Schizosaccharomyces pombe: one gene and its partners. Changing the gene in region 4 together with the main gene of any one other region gives a genetic interaction. Each region holds a gene or a part of one and is shown on either strand. Other genes may lie near its edges. The genes, in order: pdk1, ate1, ubp3 and pun1.

Region 1 (5,823 bases), on a different chromosome or scaffold from region 4:
GATAAAAAACTGATTGACAAGTATTACCAATTGAACGAGCAGATTTGTGACTATGATGTTCAAATTGACCTAGATGTTCCCAGAACAGCTGCTACACATTTCTTATTCCGAAAACGCTACATTGGAGGGCAACGTTTACTATTTAGAGTTCTTCATGCTGTAGCTCTCTATATACCTCGTGTTGGATACGTTCAAGGAATGGCTTCTATTGCTGCGACCTTGCTCATTTACTATCCCGAAGAACAAGCATTTATAATGATGGTAAATTTATTGGAAAATAGAGGCATGGGGGACTTGTTTTCTTCCGGGTTTGATACACTTTTAAAGGCTTTTGACATGCTTAAGCATGAGTTAAGTTTTACACAATCAGGCAGACATCTGGCGGAAATTGGAGCAGAACCATCTGCTTTTGCTACACGTTGGTATCTCACTGTTTTTCATCAATGCGTGCCCTTCCATACTCAATTACGTATATGGGATCTCCTGTTTTTATTAGGTGGAAGCAAAGGTCAAACTGTCAGGTTATTGCAAGCCACTTCTCTTGCGGTTATACAAGGAATGTGGGACACGCTAATTGATGCAGACTTTGAAGTAGTAATGCAAGCTCTGTCAGGTGTTATTCCCATTCAAAACGATAACGCCCTGCTTGCTAGAATTCAATTATTTTGGGAAAAAATGCCTTCTGAAAATTCTTCTAAAAGTAAGAGAAACTGATATTTCTAACTCTTTTTTAATAGCTTTATTAATTGTGGCCCACATGATGTAACATATGTCAACAAGATGAGGATTGATATCACAGAGCTTAGCATAATGGGTCCTGAACATTTATCATTTTCTTTTTCTGTTTTAATTTGGAACGTTGATAAACATTATTTCCTTGATACCACAAAACTTTTATTGGTATCAAGAGTATGCGCTTTAAATCGATCCTATCTAACTCTCTCTTCTTACTAATATTATAATTTTAACATCTCACCAAAAGAAATGGAATTTTAACATAAAATTAATTCAAGTATATATATTATAAATACTATACATATATATGTATACATAATACCTCTCCATCTTGCGACTTCCTAGGTGCGTCGTAATTTCTAATTATGTATAGCTTAAATAGTTAAATATTACCAAAACACTGACGACAAATAATAAAATATAAAGAAGGTAGTAAATGGGTTGAAAAATCAAATAAAACAAGGTATGGGGTTACTCTTCCTCGTTCTCTTCTACATTCTCTTCTGAAGAACGAGATTGATGAGAAGACGCAACATCAGCAAACTTAAGGATTTTGTCTTTATACTTGGTGACATCCCCGGAACTGTCTTCTATTATCCAGGACTGGACCTTATCTTCAATCAAGAATCGCTTGGAACTATTTTCATCAAAAATCACTACAACACTGGAATCCTTCAAGTTCACCTCCATCTCGATAAAAAGTCTCTCATGTTTTCCTTTACAAACAAAAGCGCATCGACCAACATCAGTTAATAGCATAACCCTTTGCTTTCTTTTCAAAAACATTTTTGAGAGTCCAGATGGAAACTTATTACCCTCAGGTACACTTGGAATGGGTGATACGAAGACCGAGGTAGATTCAATGATCGACTCAGACGATGGAACCAACTTGTAATAAAGTCTGTCAACAGGCATCTGATGGCTTCGAAGTGAAGCATAGCCATAATGAGCAGTTGGAGCAGTGAAACGATTTACCGTAGGAAGCTCCTGACGTCGAGCAGTTTCCTGATGCTTTACAATGGATGCAGAAGCAAATGCCGCGGCAGCATTAGCAGCAGCTGCGGCTGTCACATTTGAGCGATAATAAGCAGGAGCATTAGGAATGGCTATGTTATAATTAGGCCGGAATGACTGCATAGGAGGAGGATCTTGAGTCCATAAATTGTCCCAAGTAATAGTAGCAAAAAAAGGAAATTGTTTTATTTGTTGGGTTGTAGATCGATCAGATGGCTGAATACGGAAAAGATGGCTAAACAAAGGAACGATATCAGGTGGTAAGAGCTTTGGAAGCTCATATTCCAGGCTCATTATCTTTTTGAAAATATTATTAGGATTGCTGCCATGAAAAGGAGGGGAACCAACAATCATTTGATAAACAACACACGCAAAAGCCCATAAATCGGAACTTAAATATTTGTCAGAAAAAAAATAGACTGGGATAATAGGTTTTCTTACGATTTTGAAACAACTTGTCTAGACAATAGTTCAGGAGCAACATATTCCGCAGTGCCAACAAAGGAGCTTGGAAAGGTAGTGTAATCAGGGCTATTTACATATTTAGGGGGTAGGATTTTGGCTGTGCCGAAATCGGTAATTTTTACATGCATATTTCCATCAAATAAAATGCTAAAAAATAGGTTAGAATTAGGAAAAGGAAACGAACATTTAATGACCACTACTCAAACATACTTTTCTGGCTTGAGATCTCTGTGAATTATACCGCAGGAGTGCATATACTCGATACTTGATAAAATCTCAGCAGCATAAAAGCGCACACAATTCTCATCAAGAAAACGATACTACCAAAGCTTAGTTAATAAAGGAAAAATGAATAGACTAATGAAAAAATATACCTTTTTGATGTATTGCAAAAGTTCACCATTGGGTGCAAGTTCAAGCACATAATAAAGTTTTAAATCATCCTGAAATGTATGGAAAAGACGAGAGATACCAGGAAACCCATTAAGTCTCATCATAGAATCTCTCTCTATATTCACATACTTAACCTTATTTTCCTTGACAATATATTTTTTATCAAGGACTTTGATAGCGTACTCCTTCCAACTCTTTTTATCAGTTGCTCTTCTCACCTAACGAATATTAGACAACTTATTCGTCAGTAATCGAAGGTCCATAGGTTAATCGACCTGCGGTTGAAAAACTTCTGAACTGAGAAGCAATGTATCAACTTACCTTTGAGAATGATCCATCTCCTATAATGTCACCAAAAACGTAATCCGCCGGAGATTTGATCGATCCTATATGACTTGTTCCTGGTACTACGTTGGAAGACTGAGGTTTTACCGGATTTCTTTCACCTCTAGCCTCGAAGTAATCGGGATCCGCATAATCCGGCAATGTACTTCGGCTAATGCGTTTATGCTCCAGATCCATCATTTATAAAAGAGGTTTTCATGAAAAATGAAGTTGTGTTTGAGTTACTTTACGTTTGCTGTTCGATTCCAACTGAAACACCGTGCATTTAATTGTGGAGTTGCTGGCCTTGGAGTTGTGTTCTGTGAAGGATGTAAACACTAAGTAGAGTACCCTATTTCTCCAATCCTCGTCATTATTACATAAATTTAAAACGTAGAATATGCCATGTAAACAATAAATTAAAGGTCGAATTGTCAAAGAAAAAATGCTCATTAAGCAGCTTGATAGCCTTATCATACCCATCAAAGTCTTACATCGCATTAATGATACTTCGATATGACCTGAAGATGGTAGTACAAAAAAATTGCTTTGGGTGTTTATAGCATTAGCGAAAGCGATACAATTTGGAACGGCAATGAAAATTTTTTTAATTCAATGTTTTAAGCTCACGCTAAGCTATCCATGGCGATATTCGCTCTAAAAAGCAATAAATTGCTTGAATATGTTTGAAATAGTTTATAAATAAATATATATATGTACATATTGTTGAAATAACAGACACCTAAACAAAAGAGATTTTTAGAAAGCCAGTTGTCTTTGGGATACTGCCTTACTAAAATAAGCAAAATACACTGTAGTTAATGAAATGCTTCTTGCCTTAATTCCAAAATTAATTTGGCGATTAACAGAATTTGGAACATCCCCTATCACCTCAATATTGCTTGGAATTCTGCTTCGCTAGAAATGAAACATAACATGATACCTAATTCACAGTTTAGAAGATCCGTCGTAAGAAATTCTCGTAAATATATATACATCATTCCAGGTCGAACTTCCAATATCTTCATTTTTTGTTAAAAGATCATGGTCATATTATTTTCATTCTTCAATAGCTATGGTTTTTTTCATGTTATTTGCGTAAGTAAACCAAATATAAGCAGTCGTCAAATATTAAGAAAACAAAATCTTCAGAAACCTTTTTAGTCCCAAACTTTTAGATTCTTTCATTCTTTCCTATGTTAATTTCTAGCTGAGCACTTTCAAGTTCAATCCATGGTTATAACTCTGTAGTCGGCTGTAACTTTTGATCAAAAATTTTTAATACTATACCCTTATCTATAGTCGTTAAAGAATTTCTTAAAAAATATACGAATTCTTTCAACACTTTTTACAATTGAATAACAATTTTTTATATTCATACTGCAATTTCATATGCAGGTAGCAATGTTACCTAAATTTTGGCTGCTTCTCAATACCATACACAAGTCCCTAATCATTTTAACCTTTCACCAAACTTCTGAAAATGGCCACTACTGTGAAAGATACTATGAATGTTGACATTAATGCTATTAAAAAGGGGTATGATTGCGGGAAATTGATTTTGAAAGTTCTGACTTTGTAGAGAAATTCGTATGGGTACCACCATCACGGCGCTCCGTTATAAAGATGGCGTTATACTTGCTGCAGATTCTCGAACAACTATGGGTGTGTATTGGAATATCAGAACTTTTCGTTCTTTGATTTCTAACGTTGCTAGGTGCATATATTGCAAATCGTGTCACTGATAAGCTGACTCAGCTGACAGACAATATTTGGTGCTGTCGCAGTGGTTCTGCTGCTGATACGCAAACTGTGGCTGATCTTCTAAAATACTATCTTTCCATGTATCGGTAAGTTACCCTTGAATGAACCGAATGACTGTAAATTAAGGCTGCTTTAGCTGGTTTATCCTTTAGAATAAACTATCGACTTACTCTCAAGTCCTTATGTTTACTAGATGATTACTAAAGCCTTTTTGCATGTTTTATTTTTCATTTTATTGTTGTTAAAAAAATTATCTAACGATTATGAAGTATTCAATTTGGCCATGACCCTAGTGTTCATACAGCTGCTACTTTAGCTTCTGAAATGTGTTATCAAAACAAAAATATGCTTAGTGCAGGTTTAATTGTTGCTGGATATGATGAAAAAACTGGGGGAGATGTTTACAGTATTCCGTTAGGTGGTAGTTTGCATAAGCAACCTTTAGCTATTGGAGGAAGTGGTTCTGCTTTTATTTATGGATTTTGCGATGCTAACTTTCGCGAAAATATGACCCAAGAGGAGGCTGTTGAATTTTTAAAGAACGCTGTTGCTTTAGCCATGGAACGCGATGGCAGCAGTGGTGGTACCATTCGAATGGTCATTTTAAATAAAGATGGAATGGAGCGTAAATTTTTTGCCATTGATACTGCTAACCCTATTCCCGTATTTACTCACTAAGTACTTCACGTTTCCTTTTATTTTACGTGACTATACTGATACCCAATGCTTATGCTAGACTTGACCTTATTAATGCCTGTCTCATTATTTGTAGCTTTTGGAGTGCAAGGTCATGAAGAAAAGTTACTTTTCTGGTCAGTGAGATAAGTCTTTGTGATGATTAAAATAGAAAGATTTTTTATAGTTACAGTTAACTACCGAAGTGTAGTTATATTGTTGATAGTGAAAGAATATTATTGTTATGAGTCCTATGTAATTGTCATAAGAGTAAAAATGTTGTAAGATGCCTGCAAGCACATTTAAAATTTTGATTATCAGCTTCATACAAGAAAATTGTAATCAGCCATGTAAAATATAAAATTAGTCCGAACACCGGTAGACCCTTCTAAAGAAGAATAAAATATGATGTGTCTTTTTTTGTTTAAAATTGAATGCAGAAATTATGTGAAA
Region 2 (5,329 bases), 1.6 Mb from region 4:
AGTCTATGCTGCGGTTGACTGTCATTATTACTGACAACTTATGTAAACTGGTTCCTGATCCTGCCGAGGCATCTGATTTTCTTCCTGAGTTAATTCCGGACGTTGAGCGTATTGCTCAAACTGCTGCTATGCCTGAAGTTCGTGCCCTTGCTTCTCATGCACTTACTACTCTAAACAAGGCTGCAGCTGCTCAGGCTGCAAAGGCTGCAAACAATTCTGAGAAACAGGCGTTAGATAGCGCTTGTAAAGAATTACGTGAGGCCGTCCTTAAAAACACTAGTGTACCACATGAGTTGGCCAACAGTATCATAGATTATGTCTGCGATGCCTTAGCAGCATTGTATAAGTCAAATAATTTTGACAAAGACAAATGGACTTCGCAATTAGGTGTGCTTTATTTATCTCCACTTGTCGGGGAAGAATTGGCTTCACAAATATCATCAAAGATATATGATGACCTTCACGCCTTCTATAAGTCATTAAATTCTGTTGATGGGATTTCAAACCTTACTATTGAGGAAGAGGAACTAGTTAACACTGATTTTTCTTTGGCATACGGTGGCAGATTGCTTCTGAGTCATACCAATCTTCACCTTTATAGAGGTCATCGATACGGTGTTGTTGGTCACAATGGTTGTGGTAAATCAACCTTGTTACGCGCTATTGGTGATTACAAGGTTGAAAACTTTCCCTCACCTGATGAGGTTAAAACTTGCTTTGTTGCACATAGTCTTCAAGGCGAGGATACTAGTATGGCTATCCTTGACTTTGTTGCTCAAGATAAGGCGTTACTGACTATGAATGTTACCCGTCAAGAAGCTGCTGATGCTTTGCATTCTGTTGGTTTTACTGCGGAGATGCAGGAAAATCCTGTTGCTTCTTTATCTGGTGGTTGGAAAATGAAACTGGAGTTGGCTCGTGCCATGTTGCAGAAAGCTGATATTTTGCTTTTGGATGAACCAACAAATCATCTTGATGTTGCCAATATTGCATGGCTGGAAGCATATTTAACCTCTCAAAAGAATATTACTTGCTTGATAGTTTCTCACGACTCTTCATTTTTGGACCACGTGTGTACTGACATCATTCATTATGAAGGTGTTAAAAACCAGGCAAAAAAGCTTGGTTATTATCAAGGTAATCTTTCAGCTTTTGTCAAGGTCAAACCGGAAGCTAAATCATACTATACATTGACAGCCACAAACGAGAAGTTTGTTTTTCCACCTCCCGGTATCTTAACTGGTGTGCGCTCAAACACACGTCTCATATTAAAAATGACAAACGCTTCTTATACATATCCCAACGCGAAGAAGAAGTCATTAGATAATGTTACCGTTGGGTTATCTTTATCTTCTCGTGTTGCCATTTTAGGTCCTAACGGTGCTGGTAAATCAACGCTTATTAAAGTTCTTATCGGTGAAGTAATCCCTCAAGAAGGAAAAGTTTTCAAGCATCCCAACTTGCGTGTGGGTTACGTTGCTCAGCATGCCTTTCATCACTTGGATCAACATCTGGAAAAAACGCCAAGTCAATATATTCAATGGCGTTATGCTGGAGGACAGGACCGCGAAGTTTCAGAGAAGGAATCTCGAAAACTTACCGAAGAAGACCGTGCTCAGCTTCAGCGTGATATTACGGTCAATGGCGAACGTAGAAGAGTGGAAGCTTTGATTGGCCGTCAAAAACTAAAAAAGTCATTTCAATATGAAATTAAATGGTTTGGGAAGCCTCATAAATACAATACGTGGGTGTCTCGAGAAATATTGCTTGAAAATGGGTTTCAAAAGTTTGTACAGGCTTTTGATGATATGGAATCTTCTCGCGAAGGTCTCGGTTTCCGTGAATTGATTCCCGAAGACATCAGGGCACATTTTGAGGATGTGGGCCTTCCTGGCGACATTGCTGATTACAGCCCCATTAGTAGTTTGTCTGGCGGTCAAAAGGTTAAAGTTGTTATTGCTGCGTGTCTCTGGAATAACCCCCAGCTTTTGGTTTTGGACGAACCTACAAACTTTTTGGACAGAGATGCATTAGGTGGTTTAGCTGTTGCTATTCGTGATTGGGAAGGTGGGGTCGTTATGATTTCACATAATGAAGAATTTGTTTCTGCGTTGTGTCCTGAACACTGGCATGTAGAAGCGGGTAAGGTTACCGGTAAGGGCAAGACCGCTGTTGACGATGGAAAGTTTGAAGATCTGTCGGAGAAAGATTTGAAAAAGATTGAGGCTAAAGCTACCAAAAAGAAGAAATTGACGAGAAATGAAATCAAGGCCAAAGAAAGACGTGCTAGAGAGAGAGAATTAGCATGGTTACAATCTCCCAAGGGCACCGAAAAACCCAAATCATTCTTCTCTGATGATGAAGAATAATTTCAGACTAATTTTTTAATTCGCTCTTTGGATTGACAAGTTGAGAGTTGTTTATCCTTTAATTTTCTTTAGACGGTGCTAGTTGTTGAAGTTGGTCTTTTACATATTTACGGTTTACTGATATACCTTTTAGACTTAATTTATATATATAGAACTTGGTGGATGGTATCGTGGATAATATTAATATTAGTCGCTTTTTATATGTTTTGTTTATCGTTAGTGCATGTTATAGTTGTATTAGACGTATACACTTTTGTCATTGACTCTTGTAAAAGGTGTCAAGAGAACTATGTATTTTTTGGGTTTTTTTCTAGATATTCGTATGAAAATGTGATAGACTTTTTAATATGATTAATCAGGAAATTTCTATAAACATGCACTCAACGAAAAATAGGGTACTTAATCTTCAAGAAATAATTGGTGTAGTCTTAGTTCACCTACTCAAAGAGCCTTCAAAATAAAGGCAAAAGAACTGAACTAAGAGTTTTACTACTGATGATATAGTTCATTTAATATTAAACAGGGAAATTTTCAAACAATAGTATGGTATTGGATAAACTGTTGTACACAGGGTACAACGTCAGTACTGAATGTGGTTATTGTAAAAGTGGAAGAAAGACCGAGCATTTTGGTTTATTAGCAGAAAAGCTCAGTTGTGAAGTAAGCGTATAACTCTGCTTTTTGCAAATTTTGCTAACCTACATTTAACCTCAGGACTACCAGCGATTGATTGATTTGGGATGGAGGTAAAAACCTTTATTAGTTAACATTGCTAATATAAAATAAGACGTTCAGGACATTATTTATATAAACCCAACGGGAAAACATCTTGCTGTTCTCTTTATACAATCAGGTACTTAGCATAAGTCGCCAAATATGATTGATTACTAACCGCCGAATGTTGAAGACTCGACAGCTATAATTTTAAAATTGCAAAAGAGCAAAAGAAGGCAATAAAAAAATGGGTCAAATATGTAAATGGAAAGCCATTAAAACCTATGAAAAGCGAAATTAGCACAGATTATTTGAACAATGCCTTTCAAACTATAGAATCGCTCGGAGCTGAAAAATACTCTGTAACTATGGAGCCTTGCACTTACACCGATGAGAAATTTGAAGTCTTCAAAAAGTATCAAATGCAAGTTCATTTAGAGAAAGAAGAGGAAATCACGAAAAAAGGATTTAGCAGGTTTCTTTGCAACTCTCCTTTATTTAATGAAGACAAGGGGATAAAGTATGGTTCTTATCATCAGATGTATCGATTTCAAGGAAGGCTTGTGGCAGTTGGAGTTTTAGACTTGCTACCACATGGTGTTTCTAGCGTTTATCTGTTTTATGATCCTGATATGTCTAAGTTTTCTCTGGGAAGGATTAGTGCCTGCCGTGAAATCTGGCTTGCTCTTGAATGCGGATATCGGTACTACTACATGGGTAGGCTAAAATGTCATTTATTTAATTACGTTGATTGACCTTGCAGGTTATTATATTCACACATGTCCCAAAATGAAGTATAAGGCAACGTATAGTCCATCGTACCTGCTTAATCCCGTACGTATACATTCGATTTTAACTTGAACTAATACAAACAGGGTACAAATAAATGGATACCAATTGAAAACTTTACTTCACTTTGGAATACTGGTGCTCCTAAATATATAAGTTTCGGGGATGAAAATAATAGTGATATTCAAACTGCTGTTGACTACGATTCTTCTGAAGATTCATCTCAAAACGAAGATGATTATACACTGTTTAATCGACAGCTTCCTGGAATTCTTTCAGTAAATGTTGCTGAGTCCTTGGTTTCGGAGAATTTTGCTAACATTGGCAATTCAACTTTCCCCACAAGAGTATGTCTTTATTTTTGAGTAACAATGCTAATTCTTCAGCATGTTTTAAGTTATTTCCCTCAGGTTAAACATTGGTTTGTTGAAATCAATGCTGCTGTGGGCGAAGAAGTCGCAAAGAGTTATACACTTGTTTTATCTAGTTGATATATTATCTGTCTACGTGTTTTATTTGCTTAAGATATGAACATCCTACTTAAAAATCTTAATGAACTCCAGGATGGCTTTGAGAGTAAATTTTACAATGTGACTTACAGAATTAAGTTAATTTTATGCTACTACTTATGTGTGATAGTTTCCTCTTTTATGTCCCTTAATCGAAGTTGATAGCATTTCTAATAATATAAAATACTGCCGGCTTATATATTTATTTTGTAATTATTTATAACTGCACGCTACCTAAAATGTCACCCTAACATAACTTAGTGGGCTTTTCCGTTACGAGTTGTTTGCAACCAAACACAAAAACGGGTTTACCGGTACTTCACGACTTAATATAATCGCAAAACAGTGCATAGTAGGTGAGAAAGGATTTTATCATTTAGAGAAGAGATTTTACTTTAATTGTTCTTCTTTTTTCTTTCTCAAGTGTTACTGCTAGGTTCTCATTCTATAGAGTATTAGCAAACACCAGATTTCGATGACATTTCGTGTCAAAATTGGGTTGACTGCATTTTAAAAATAATTAATCACGGTTGGCTTACAATTCAACTTCTAGGCACTGATTTTTTCTTCGAATGCCATTTTGAAGTTATTTTACTTTTACTTTCCTAAAACAAGGTGTTGTAATAAGGGATTGTTCTTTTATCTATTTTTGTACCATTTGTATAAAGAATTCATTAATTTGCACTGTGATTTTCTTAATACAGGCTTAAATCCATTTACCGCTTCCATTTTTTCTTTGAATAAGTTACACCATTTCTCAACGATAAATACTTGTATAGAGAGGTGTATTTACTTGTTCAATTTCATTCTTTATTGAAAATCACTGATTTTGATTTGATTTTTATTGCGTTTAAGCTGTATGCTACTTGGAAGCTGCTTCTCAAGTATAATATTGCCTTTGCAACAAAGTTTTTTTATATCTCTTTTTACAGGATTTCGCATGTTTTA
Region 3 (5,585 bases), on a different chromosome or scaffold from region 4:
GCGTCAAGGAGAACACGGTCAAAACCGCCAATTACTTCGTTGGGAAACTTGCGGCCATCGTAATTACATACAATAGCATTACGTACACCTAAACGATGAATGTTAGCGGAAAGAGCCTTTGTTCGAGCTTTGTTAGAATCATTTGCAAAGATAATTCCAGTATTCTTTTGTAATGCAGCAACATAAGTGACTTTACCACCAGGTGCTGAGGACATGTCAAGGATACGTTCATTTGGTTGAGGCGCAAGGGCCATTACAGGCAAGAAGGAAGATGCAGCTTGCAGGATGTAATGACCAGCTAAATATTCGGGTGTCGCACCGATTGGAACCTGGGATTCGAATACTTGGAGACCTACTTTGGACCATTTACCAATTGGTTCCAAATTGACACCACGATTAATTAATGCTTGGGCTAATTCTCGTCGCTGGGTTTTTAAAGTATTGGTACGAATTGTGACAGGACGAGGCATTTCATTTGCCTCAAAAAACTCAACAGCCTCAGAAACTGAAAATAATTCAAATAACTTCTCAGCAAGAAAGCGAGAATAACCGTAATACGCACATATATCATTTAAGAGTTGATCAACATATTCAGAACGATTGCGTCCAGGTTCACACAAATTTTTAAAATCATTCAAAACACGGACTATTTCCTGTATCCGCAATTGAATTTGGCTCAAATCCTGTGGAAGAGTAGATATTGGTTGGCTATCGGTAAAACCATCAATAGGTGGAAGAACAGTAGGAGCCTCAGGATGTATGTTGGTATGCAATTCTTCCTCGGCTTCTTTTTCCTCTAATTCCGCTTCCTCATCAAGTTTGCGAGACATGGCTTCCATATTCGCAAGTTCCAAATCCTCTTCATCTCCAGAATCATCGCTAAACATAGGCTTAACCTCATGCTCTTCATCCGAATCAAAAACAGAATCTTCTTCCTCCCCTTCACATTCTTTAGCCTCATCATCGATAAACTCGTCAGCAAATGTTTGGGGTTCCTCGTCATGTTCCAAGTCTGATAAAGTTTCAGCCTCTTCAAATTCGTCTGCATCAATAAGATCTTTTTCATTCTCAGAATCCGAATTTTCAAACAAAGATTTCTTTTCTTCTGCTAATTGGCGTTTCCGAGAATTTTGTGGTTTTTCTTTTGAATGCTTTCTCTTTTTTGCATTTTCTGTCACTTTATGAGAAGAATTATGATTTTCCTCTAAAGTTGGGGGAATTCCTTGCTTAGACTTCTGTTTTCTTCCCATCTTTTATGGAAAATATGTGATGAAGTCCAAAAACGTTTATTTGGGCTGAGGAAAAATTTTGGCACTGGCATTCTTTCAGTCCAACCTCCACTATTCACATCGCTGAGTTTTGTTAAAAACTTTTACGAAAGATAAAGAACATTAAATTTTTTCAAGCAATACTACACTACGCTATGACATACTATGTTGCGTATCACTATATGCCATATGTTTAAATACTTAAGATCCGTTTATTGATACACGAGGATAAACTATCCGTCTATCTACATAGATGCAACGTTGATAGCAACTTATAGAAATATTATTAATAGAGCTACAGTTGAACTGAGGAACGAGGTACAGTTCCTAGCTGTATCGATGATCGATACTAATAGCTTCCTATAAACATTGTCAGTTAAAAATATACTGCATCCCGCTATATTGTAGATCGCAAGAGAAAATTGCCGCAGTTCTATGTATCGTTAAACAGATATTCAAACTGCATTGCTGAAACACAAAAAGATATACCGCATAGCAACAGCATAGTTAACATTATTAAAAATTCACGACTATTGTTATATTTATCTTTTTTAAAATTTGCTACGTACTTTACTGCTCAGCTTACTTAAAAAAGTCACTTAATTTACTCGTTCATCTTACTTCACCTCCTTGACAATTAATCATTTCAATTATGATCACATTAAGACTTGGTTAACGATTGAATTTGCTGCGGCGTAAAATGAGTGACAATATATATTCAAGACCTATATATAGTTCACACAACAGCAGAATATCGAATTTTAAAATTTACTATTTACTTTTCTCTTTTCGTATCACTTTTGTGGTTTAAGATACATATAGTGGTACTTAGATATGTAAATATACCGTATTCTCTAAAAATAACTAAAGATGGGCATGGACATTCAATAATTAATAATAAAAAAGAACAACTAAAAATAATTAGGAATTTGAGTTAGGCGGTCAAGTGTTTACAGTGGAATATCACCATAATACACTTGGTGGAATACGAAGAATTAACGAGGTATAGTGTATATTAAAAAAAGTTTTGGACAGTCTTTTGAAGAGCAAAGCGAACGACAGCCAACCATCAAATTAGTAAACAAGAGTTCAATCTTGCTAGAGTGTGCGTATTTCCATGCGAGATTTGACCTCTGCAACGGACAGCGCGTCTTTGGAAAGTGATTCGTCACGAAATCAATTTATTATCAATTCACTGGTATGTTTTATTAAAATTGTGATTATACTAACGTTTAGCTACCATGGTACTCATGCTCTGAACATGAATTTCCTCATCGAAAGGCTAGAAAAAGGCGTTCGCCTAAGAATTTAGATTGGTCGGTTTCGGTGCAAATGCCTCTGGTCACATCAAAGACGAAAGAGTCTGAAAAATCGCCTAAATCGTGGTCTGCAATTGCGAAAAAGCATGTTCAAGGAGACTCTCCTGTTAAAAAATCACATTCTGTTCCGGTACCGTCTGACAGGTCTGAGAAAAAAAGTTTCAATTCATCCCTTGGTGAATTGATCGAAACATATTCTCCATCCCTCGATGCACCCCGTCCTATACAGCCTCGGGGTTTTATAAATACCGGAAATATATGTTTTATGAACTCTATTTTACAGGCACTAATGTATTGTGTTCCATTTTATAATTTACTTAAGCAAATTAACCGGATGGTTCCGTATAATTTTGAACGTACAACACCTCTTATTGAATCGTTGACAATGCTTTCTAGGGATTTTAGAGAATATTCTGAGAAATTTGATTTACAAGGAGATTCTATTTTGCCAGAAGTGGTATATTCAGCTACTAAGGGGAATCCTCGATTTGAAATGTTGCAGACCGGCGAACAGGAGGATGCTGAGGAGTTTTTGAATTTGTTTCTTGACGAATTACATGAAGAATTCGTGCGTGAACGTAGACATTATTTATTAAAAAATGACGAAAGAAATCCAAAATCTGATATCAAAATTTCAAATGGTATCAAGTCTGGTTTAGATAGTTTTGATGATCAATCTTCTGTAGAAGCTAGTGGCTGGACCGAAGTTGGTAAAAATAAAAAGCCAGTAATTGCTAGATCTGCTACTGTTGAAAGGTCTCCTATAAGCCAAATTTTTGGTGGTCAGCTGCGCTCTACCTTAAGGGTTCCGAGTGCAAGAGATTCTGTTTTGTTAGAACCGTTTCAACCTCTGCAACTCGACATTCAAGCAGAAGATATACATTCAGTTATCGATGCGTTGGAGCATATGACCGCCCCTGAAATTTTACCGGAATGGCATTCGTCGAAAGGAAATGTTACTGCTACCAAGCAAATGTATATAGAGTCACTTCCTCCTGTCTTGATTCTTCACCTTAAACGATTCTTTTACGAAGCATCTGGCGGTACACAGAAAAATTATAAGCCTATTGCTTATCCTGCTCGCTTGAGTATTCCACAAAACGTTTTCAGCCCTTCTGTTCGTGGTTCCATACATCCGGAATATGATTTGAATGCAGTGGTTTATCATCACGGTACTTCTGCGTCTGGTGGTCATTATACTGTCGATGTTCAGCAACTTGATAAAAGCGGCTGGTTTCGGATTGATGATACACACATTCACCGCGTACCTATTCATGATGTTGAAAACTCCGAACTTTCCGCTGATCCGAGTCTTAGTAAACTTGGTCACGGCGATCGTGTGGCATACTTACTGTTTTACACACGACGCTCCTAGGTCATCTGGATTCCTTCCTCCCAAAAAAAATTAACCAATAAAAACCTTAATTGTTTTGTGTATTCTTCAATAAACAACTCAAGGATTTGAGCTAAAACTGGGGACTACACTTTTTTATAATTCTTTTTGTTTAAAACGTCGGTTAGAAAATTTTATCATATCTTTTTTACATAATTTTCTCAAAAAGGTTCAGCAATTTTTTATTATTTTTTATTTTATGAACTTTAGCTATTTAAGATTACGTTCCCTCTCAATCCCTTTAAACTAATCGGCTTTATAATACAACCTTTCTAGGAACTTACTCCGAATATACAAGTGAATTTTCATTGCAGCTTTAATGCAGTATATATTTTAAAACAGTACCAAAAGTAGGGTCAAGTGGTTTTTATTTTGCTGTCCTATTAGTAGTAGGTCAAGTCCAGCTTCATAATGTAATATTTGAAGTACTATGGCATCAAGTTTGTCACTTTAAAGCCCATTTCTATAATTTTCATGCAAGCTAAACTCCTTGTTTTAAATAAAAAGATTTGATCGTTTGAGAATCTTGATTCAGCGCATTCTAAAGTACGAATATAAATTACAGTTTTTTTGTTGCATTTATTAAACATTTGGCCCCCACTTGCATACCCCAATTATATCTCTGCGCAGTTAAGCCTATTGTCAACACCACTACCAAATTCTTTTTCCTAATACCTGGCGCGTTGAAATAGGCACTCCTTACTTTTATTAATTAATCATGACATTTTTCAGTGCACTGGGTATGATGAATTTCGTCAAAGTAAAGCTAATCATTAGGTGATATGGCCCATTTGGCTGCTATTTTCTTGCTTTTGCACCGAATGAAAAAATCGAAAACCTGTTCAGGACTATCTCTCAAATCCCATCTTTTGTTTCTGCTTGTTTATGTTACACGTTATTTGAGTATGTGCTGAACTTTTCGAAAAATACTTTCTTTGCTAACTCTTTTTTTTAACAGATCTCTTTTGGAGATACAAAAGCTTGTATTATTTCTTGATGAGGATAGTTTTTATAGCTTCCGAATCCTATATATGCTACTTGATGTTAATGACTTTGCGACCTACATATGACAAACGTCTTGATACTTTTCGAACTGAATATATCTTAGGTGGTTGTGCAGTTCTGGCTCTCATTTATCCAACCAGTTATACCATTAGTAACATCCTATGGACTTTTAGTATTTGGTTAGAAAGTGTTGCAATTCTCCCTCAATTGTTTATGTTACAACGATCTGGTGAAACAGAGAGCCTGACTGCCCATTACTTATTTGCAATGTGCTTATATAGAGGACTATATATTCCTCATTGGATTTATCGTATTGCAGTTCACAAGAAAGTCATCGGTGTTGCAATTCTTGCGGGCATTATCCAAACCGTTTTGTATGGTGATTTTGCAGTCGTATATCGCCGAACAGTTCTACAGGGAAAAAAGTTCCGATTACCTGCTTAGTTATGATTTTTATTGATGAAAAAAGAAGGAATCTTTATTGTTTTTTTTCTATTTGCATTACCTTTTTCTCGATGCAATAAGTTTCTGATTGCATTTTTAGCAACGCCGTCAAAGGACTATGTTCATGAATGAATTAATGAACTAAATGGGCTTTTT
Region 4 (4,582 bases):
ACAAGAACTAGACGGAATTACTAAAGTCTTTCGCCATTTTGAAAAGAAAAAATCAAATATGTTAAATGAGGTCGAGTTTTATGCCGCATTGGCCTCATTGGGCTTGGTTTATGATACCGAAGAAGGAACTGCTTTGTTTCACAGGGCTGCTAACTCGGAAGAGGGTGTTACTTATGAGCGTTTTACAGAAATCGTGATGGAAGAATTAGAGGATCGTGATAGTGCTCGTCAAGTTTTATATGCGTTTTGTGATGTTGCAGACGGAAAATCTTATGTCACGTCCGATGATCTATTGAGGAGTCAGGTTCGTCCTAATATAGTAAAGTTTTTAGAATGCAACATGAACAAACATTCAGAAGGACTGGATTATCTTACATGGATTAAACAATTACTGGCCGAAGACAAAGAAATAGTTTAAAACGGAGCATTTTGAATCACTTGATAAACTTAATGAACATTATTTGGATGAAAATTTAGTATACTTGAATAACAATATATATACGTTACAAGGGTCAAAGAAAAGTATATTTTTAAATACAGTAACTATCTGAAGAAAAACAAATCTCAATGCTAACTAACATAAAAATGAAAGAAAAAGGAAACTTGACATCAATACAAAAAGAAGGGAAAATAAAACAACATGCTAATTTTTAACAAATAATGGGCAATAAATAACGGACGATACAACTTAAAGTGGACTGTATCCGGATGTAAGATTTCCAATAAAATATAGAATACAAGCAGCTAAGCCAGCAGCTGCTGAAAGGAATGAATAAGCATAAATTTTCTTTCCTAAAACGATTGGAATGTTAAGAATTTCGATATTTTTTTCCAATTCAGAAATTGCAATACGATAAGTTGCAACTGCGATAACTGCAGCGATAAAAGTAAAAATAGTTGCAAAGAATGAGAAGACGTTGAGAAAGAGGGGACCAAAAAATGGAAGGCAAGAAATAACGATTGAAACTATTGTCAGAGCAAAGAAAATAAATCCAAGAATATACATGGCTCGCATAGCATAACATGCCCCTTTAAGCACTTTTAATCCTAAATCCACCTCGGAAGGTAAAGTGATGTTAATTTGGCTACCAGTTGCATTATTAATACTGGTTTCCAGCATTGTAAGGGGGTTGAAGTAATAACTAGGAGAAGGAGTACTACAATAAGTAGGATTTGTATAATCAGACGAATTTCCCTGACAATAATTCCAAAGACCAATGGAGTACCAGTCCGGGAGTTCAGACACGTCCTTCATCTCCTGCTCAACTTGTTCGATTAAATCAGTAGCACCTTGATCAATATATGTTTCGAGCGTGTCTACCAGTGTTCCAGTAAGCTCGTTAAGTAGGTTGCTTGTATTATTGACAACAGCAGTTTGATTGGCGACAGAAAAGATAGATGTAGTATTCAGTTGAATAAAGTAAATATTTTGAAAAGCAATGTTATGCTGAGTTTGATTGATGATGCATAGAATTGACAAAAGCGCGCCAACTCCAACGCAAACGGTACCAATACCAGTGAACAAAGCTTTAATAGGATTGAACCCCATTCCCATTTTGACAAACAGTTATATCAAAAACCAATTTGCTTGGGATGACAAAAAGAAAGAATAATATATATGATTATATATAATAGATATCACGATTAATAAGGAAAACTGATATGTAGTCTCCAGAAATAAACAATTCTTCAAGAAGCTGGGAAGAAGAAGGACAAAAAATCGGCTGAAAAATAGAGGGAAACACTTCAAAAACGCTGTTGTAAAACGAATTTCTTTGAAATTAATACGATTTAACGCGAGGATATTGAGTAAACAAGATAGTATGGATAGTAAACAAAAGAGAGAGAACTGGTTTTTTTTTTCAATCGTAAAGGCAAGTAGCTGATTGTTTCTTAACCTTTTATACGCATCAGAGGCGCAATCTCTTAAAGTCTTAATCTTCTGTAAATTTGGAATGCCACAATTGACACGGAGGGCCCGCTACGAGTAAAATATGTTTTGAGAAAGCGAAGTTGTCATGACAACCAAGTGTAAACAGACGGGTCATATCAATGTAAATAAACCAAACGCGGGACGTTTTCGATGTTTGCAACAAGCTCGACTATTATACGTGTGAAAAGGATGCAGTGACAGCAATTTTACAGTTCTTTCGCAGCAAAAGAAACAGTTCTGATATACGAACTCAGCGGCGCATGCTGTGTCGTACATTACTGACATATAGGCGCAGCTTGAGTTTCAAGCCCCATTATATATGAAAAGAAAGCGTTCATTAGATAGCCAAGTAAAAAAATCAACATAAGCGCTTTGCTTTTCTTAGTATTCGTTCCATGATACCGAACACAATAATTTGGGCTTTATATAGTTTTTGTATAAAAAAGAAATCATATGATTATCATATTAACATTTAATCGTTTAATGACTCTCAAAGATCCGTGATTATATAATAGAGAAGAGGAATTTACGTCGTCAATGAATCAGATATAATATTTAAACTAACATCATATAGATTTCCCATATTATCTTCTACCATGCTTTCATGACGAGGATACTTAATTAACCAATAATTTATACTTAATATGGTTGTGTTGCTCTAGTTACAATTGAAATTTTGGAAAGTGGTTTGGTCCATCGCAAGATTGGGTAGTTTGTGAATTCATTTAATTTGCCAAATAAATGAGCGAAATTCTCAGATAATGACAAAATAGTTATTTTTTTTTCTGGAGAAATGCGAAAGAGCTGTTGGAGTTTCTTTTGTAATATCGAATGGCAGAACAGAACTACTTTCTTCATATTCGTCAATAAGTTAAGTTCAATACTGGATCCAATTTCAACTTTTACAAAATGAATTATAATTGTTTACTGAAATTTCCCTTTTAAGTTTAGACCCTTACCAAGACTGTAAAGCACCTTAAGGAAGCGATCATTACTGCCTCTTTTGTTTGTTTACATTAGGTGCTTTCCTGATTTCTCCAATACACATACATTGTTGCTAGACTCATAGCGGTCAGACGAAGATAATTATTGATTCTTTAAATGGAACGTAAAGAATTGTCTTATACCATTCAAAGCTGGTCCAGCTATTCTGGAGCATTTCATCCTATCAATATACTTATCGATAATCCACACCAGGCTAACAGCCGATGGAGCTGTAATACTTCAATATGTAAACCCAACAACTCTGAAGAACAGTATGTAATTCTGAAACTTGATAAACTTGCGTTGGTTACCGATATCACCTTTGGGAAATTCCACACTCCCCATCTTTGCAACCTTAAAGAGTAAGCGGTTTATTTTTTTTTTCTTCCTCTAACAGTTTTAAGTTTTATAGTATATGGGGGGCGTGAACAGCATTTGATGTTCCCTTTATTAAGAGCTGGATTGACAAATGATTCAAATCGAGAAACATTTCCATTGTGTATCAAGAAATATAACAAAATTGAGAATTCAATTGCTTGTAAGTATATCAAAATTGTTCCACTTCAAGCTCATGCTCATGAATTTAACATGAGTATATGGTATGTTGCTTTACACGGCATTGACTCAGCCAGCGCTTTATCATGCACAGAGAAGAACAGAGCTTTACATCTAGAAAAAAAGGCACTCAATTGCCTTCTCTCTTACTTTGCTTTTAAAGGGAAACTTGATATATGTTCTGTGATACTTCAAAGCTACCAGCTTTCCATACCACATTCACCCTTAATGAGAATGTATGATGCATTTTGCAGACTAGGAGACACTCAAAAAACCATTCTTCTGTTTCAACAAGAACTTCAAGCTGAAATTATTGAGAAATGGCCAAAGCATAAATTAACCAAATTACGGTCGCATAGAATAGCTACATTTTTGAAAGGAATAAGTAGAAGAAGCGGTCATCAAATGGTTTACAATCCAAAGGTACCTTAGATTTTTTCGATATTTTATTGTATTAACAGTTATCCTCATACAGGACAATTGTATTTATTTATACGGCGGCTGGGATGGTGTCAAAACATTTTCTGATTTTTGGATTTACAATGTTGATAAAGATTTATGGATTATGGAGAATGAATATGGGTATGTCATTTTTTAGAAAGAATCTATCCATTAACGTATTAGAATTCCTGGTGAGAGGGTTTGTCACAGAATGGTCATTGATACTAGCCAACAAAAGCTGTATCTACTTGGGAATTACTTTGGCTCATCTAGGGAAACCGAGGTGCCCCCAGATGCAAGGACAGATTTTTGGGAATTTGATATTAGCAAAAAAGTTTGGACATGTTTATCCTATGACACTTCAAAAGATGGTGGGCCTGCCGCTATTTTTGACCATGGAATGTCAGTAGACGAAAAGCGAGGTATTGTATATGTGAGTGGTGGATGTAAATGGGATCCAGATGAACTGGTATTCGAGGGACTTTATGCATATGATACGAAAAATCGAATTTGGGAACAGTTGGCTGTCAGGTATGAGGATCGTCAAAAACACTGTGAGTTTAAGATTGAAAGGATGGGTCATTGCATGGAATATTTTCCTGATGAGAACAAACTTTATATTTTCGGTGGTCAAAGCTATGATCAAGAATTCATCTTAGACATGTGTTA

What was found.
Region 1: mutations in pun1 (region 4) and pdk1 together harm fitness more than expected from each alone (negative genetic interaction), as found in Schizosaccharomyces pombe (one large-scale study listed by BioGRID).
Region 2: mutations in pun1 (region 4) and ate1 together harm fitness more than expected from each alone (negative genetic interaction), as found in Schizosaccharomyces pombe (one large-scale study listed by BioGRID).
Region 3: mutations in pun1 (region 4) and ubp3 together harm fitness more than expected from each alone (negative genetic interaction), as found in Schizosaccharomyces pombe (one large-scale study listed by BioGRID).

The regions. Positions count from the first base shown.
Region 1 is NC_003423.3:3,113,255-3,119,077, forward strand, and holds pdk1 (serine/threonine protein kinase Ppk21/Pdk1), read right to left. Parts: upstream 3,256-5,823; 5' UTR 3,133-3,255; coding exon 2,929-3,132; exon of another isoform or gene 2,826-2,928; coding exon 2,589-2,825; intron 2,535-2,588; coding exon 2,425-2,534; intron 2,362-2,424; coding exon 2,191-2,361; intron 2,141-2,190; coding exon 1,207-2,140; 3' UTR 977-1,206; downstream 1-976. Other genes in the region: SPOM_SPBC1778.09 (GTPase-activating protein), read left to right, coding at 1-714; proteasome core particle subunit beta 1 Pre3, read left to right, coding at 4,415-4,470, 4,514-4,596, 4,649-4,781, 4,965-5,373.
Region 2 is NC_003424.3:2,076,314-2,081,642, reverse strand, and holds ate1 (arginine-tRNA--protein transferase), read left to right. Parts: upstream 1-2,799; 5' UTR 2,800-2,912; coding exon 2,913-3,029; exon of another isoform or gene 3,030-3,083; coding exon 3,084-3,115; exon of another isoform or gene 3,116-3,156; coding exon 3,157-3,222; exon of another isoform or gene 3,223-3,276; coding exon 3,277-3,800; exon of another isoform or gene 3,801-3,846; coding exon 3,847-3,917; exon of another isoform or gene 3,918-3,958; coding exon 3,959-4,219; exon of another isoform or gene 4,220-4,258; coding exon 4,259-4,363; 3' UTR 4,364-4,536; downstream 4,537-5,329. Other genes in the region: AAA family ATPase Elf1, read left to right, coding at 1-2,369.
Region 3 is NC_003423.3:3,675,328-3,680,912, forward strand, and holds ubp3 (ubiquitin hydrolase Ubp3), read left to right. Parts: upstream 1-2,321; 5' UTR 2,322-2,385; coding exon 2,386-2,466; intron 2,467-2,504; coding exon 2,505-3,962; 3' UTR 3,963-4,334; downstream 4,335-5,585. Other genes in the region: RNA methyltransferase Nop2, read right to left, coding at 1-1,250; erd2 (HDEL receptor), read left to right, coding at 4,699-4,720, 4,758-4,883, 4,939-5,429.
Region 4 is NC_003424.3:3,694,474-3,699,055, forward strand, and holds pun1 (SUR7 family protein), read right to left. Parts: upstream 1,963-4,582; 5' UTR 1,556-1,962; coding exon 689-1,555; 3' UTR 501-688; downstream 1-500. Other genes in the region: ain1 (alpha-actinin), read left to right, coding at 1-418; mde6 (muskelin), read left to right, coding at 3,035-3,279, 3,322-3,895, 3,948-4,054, 4,097-4,582. UniProt on the Schizosaccharomyces pombe protein: Contributes to the wild-type cellular response to nitrogen stress through signaling pathways that regulate the expression of genes involved in amino acid biosynthesis. Required for wild-type filamentous growth, cell growth, and cell-cell adhesion.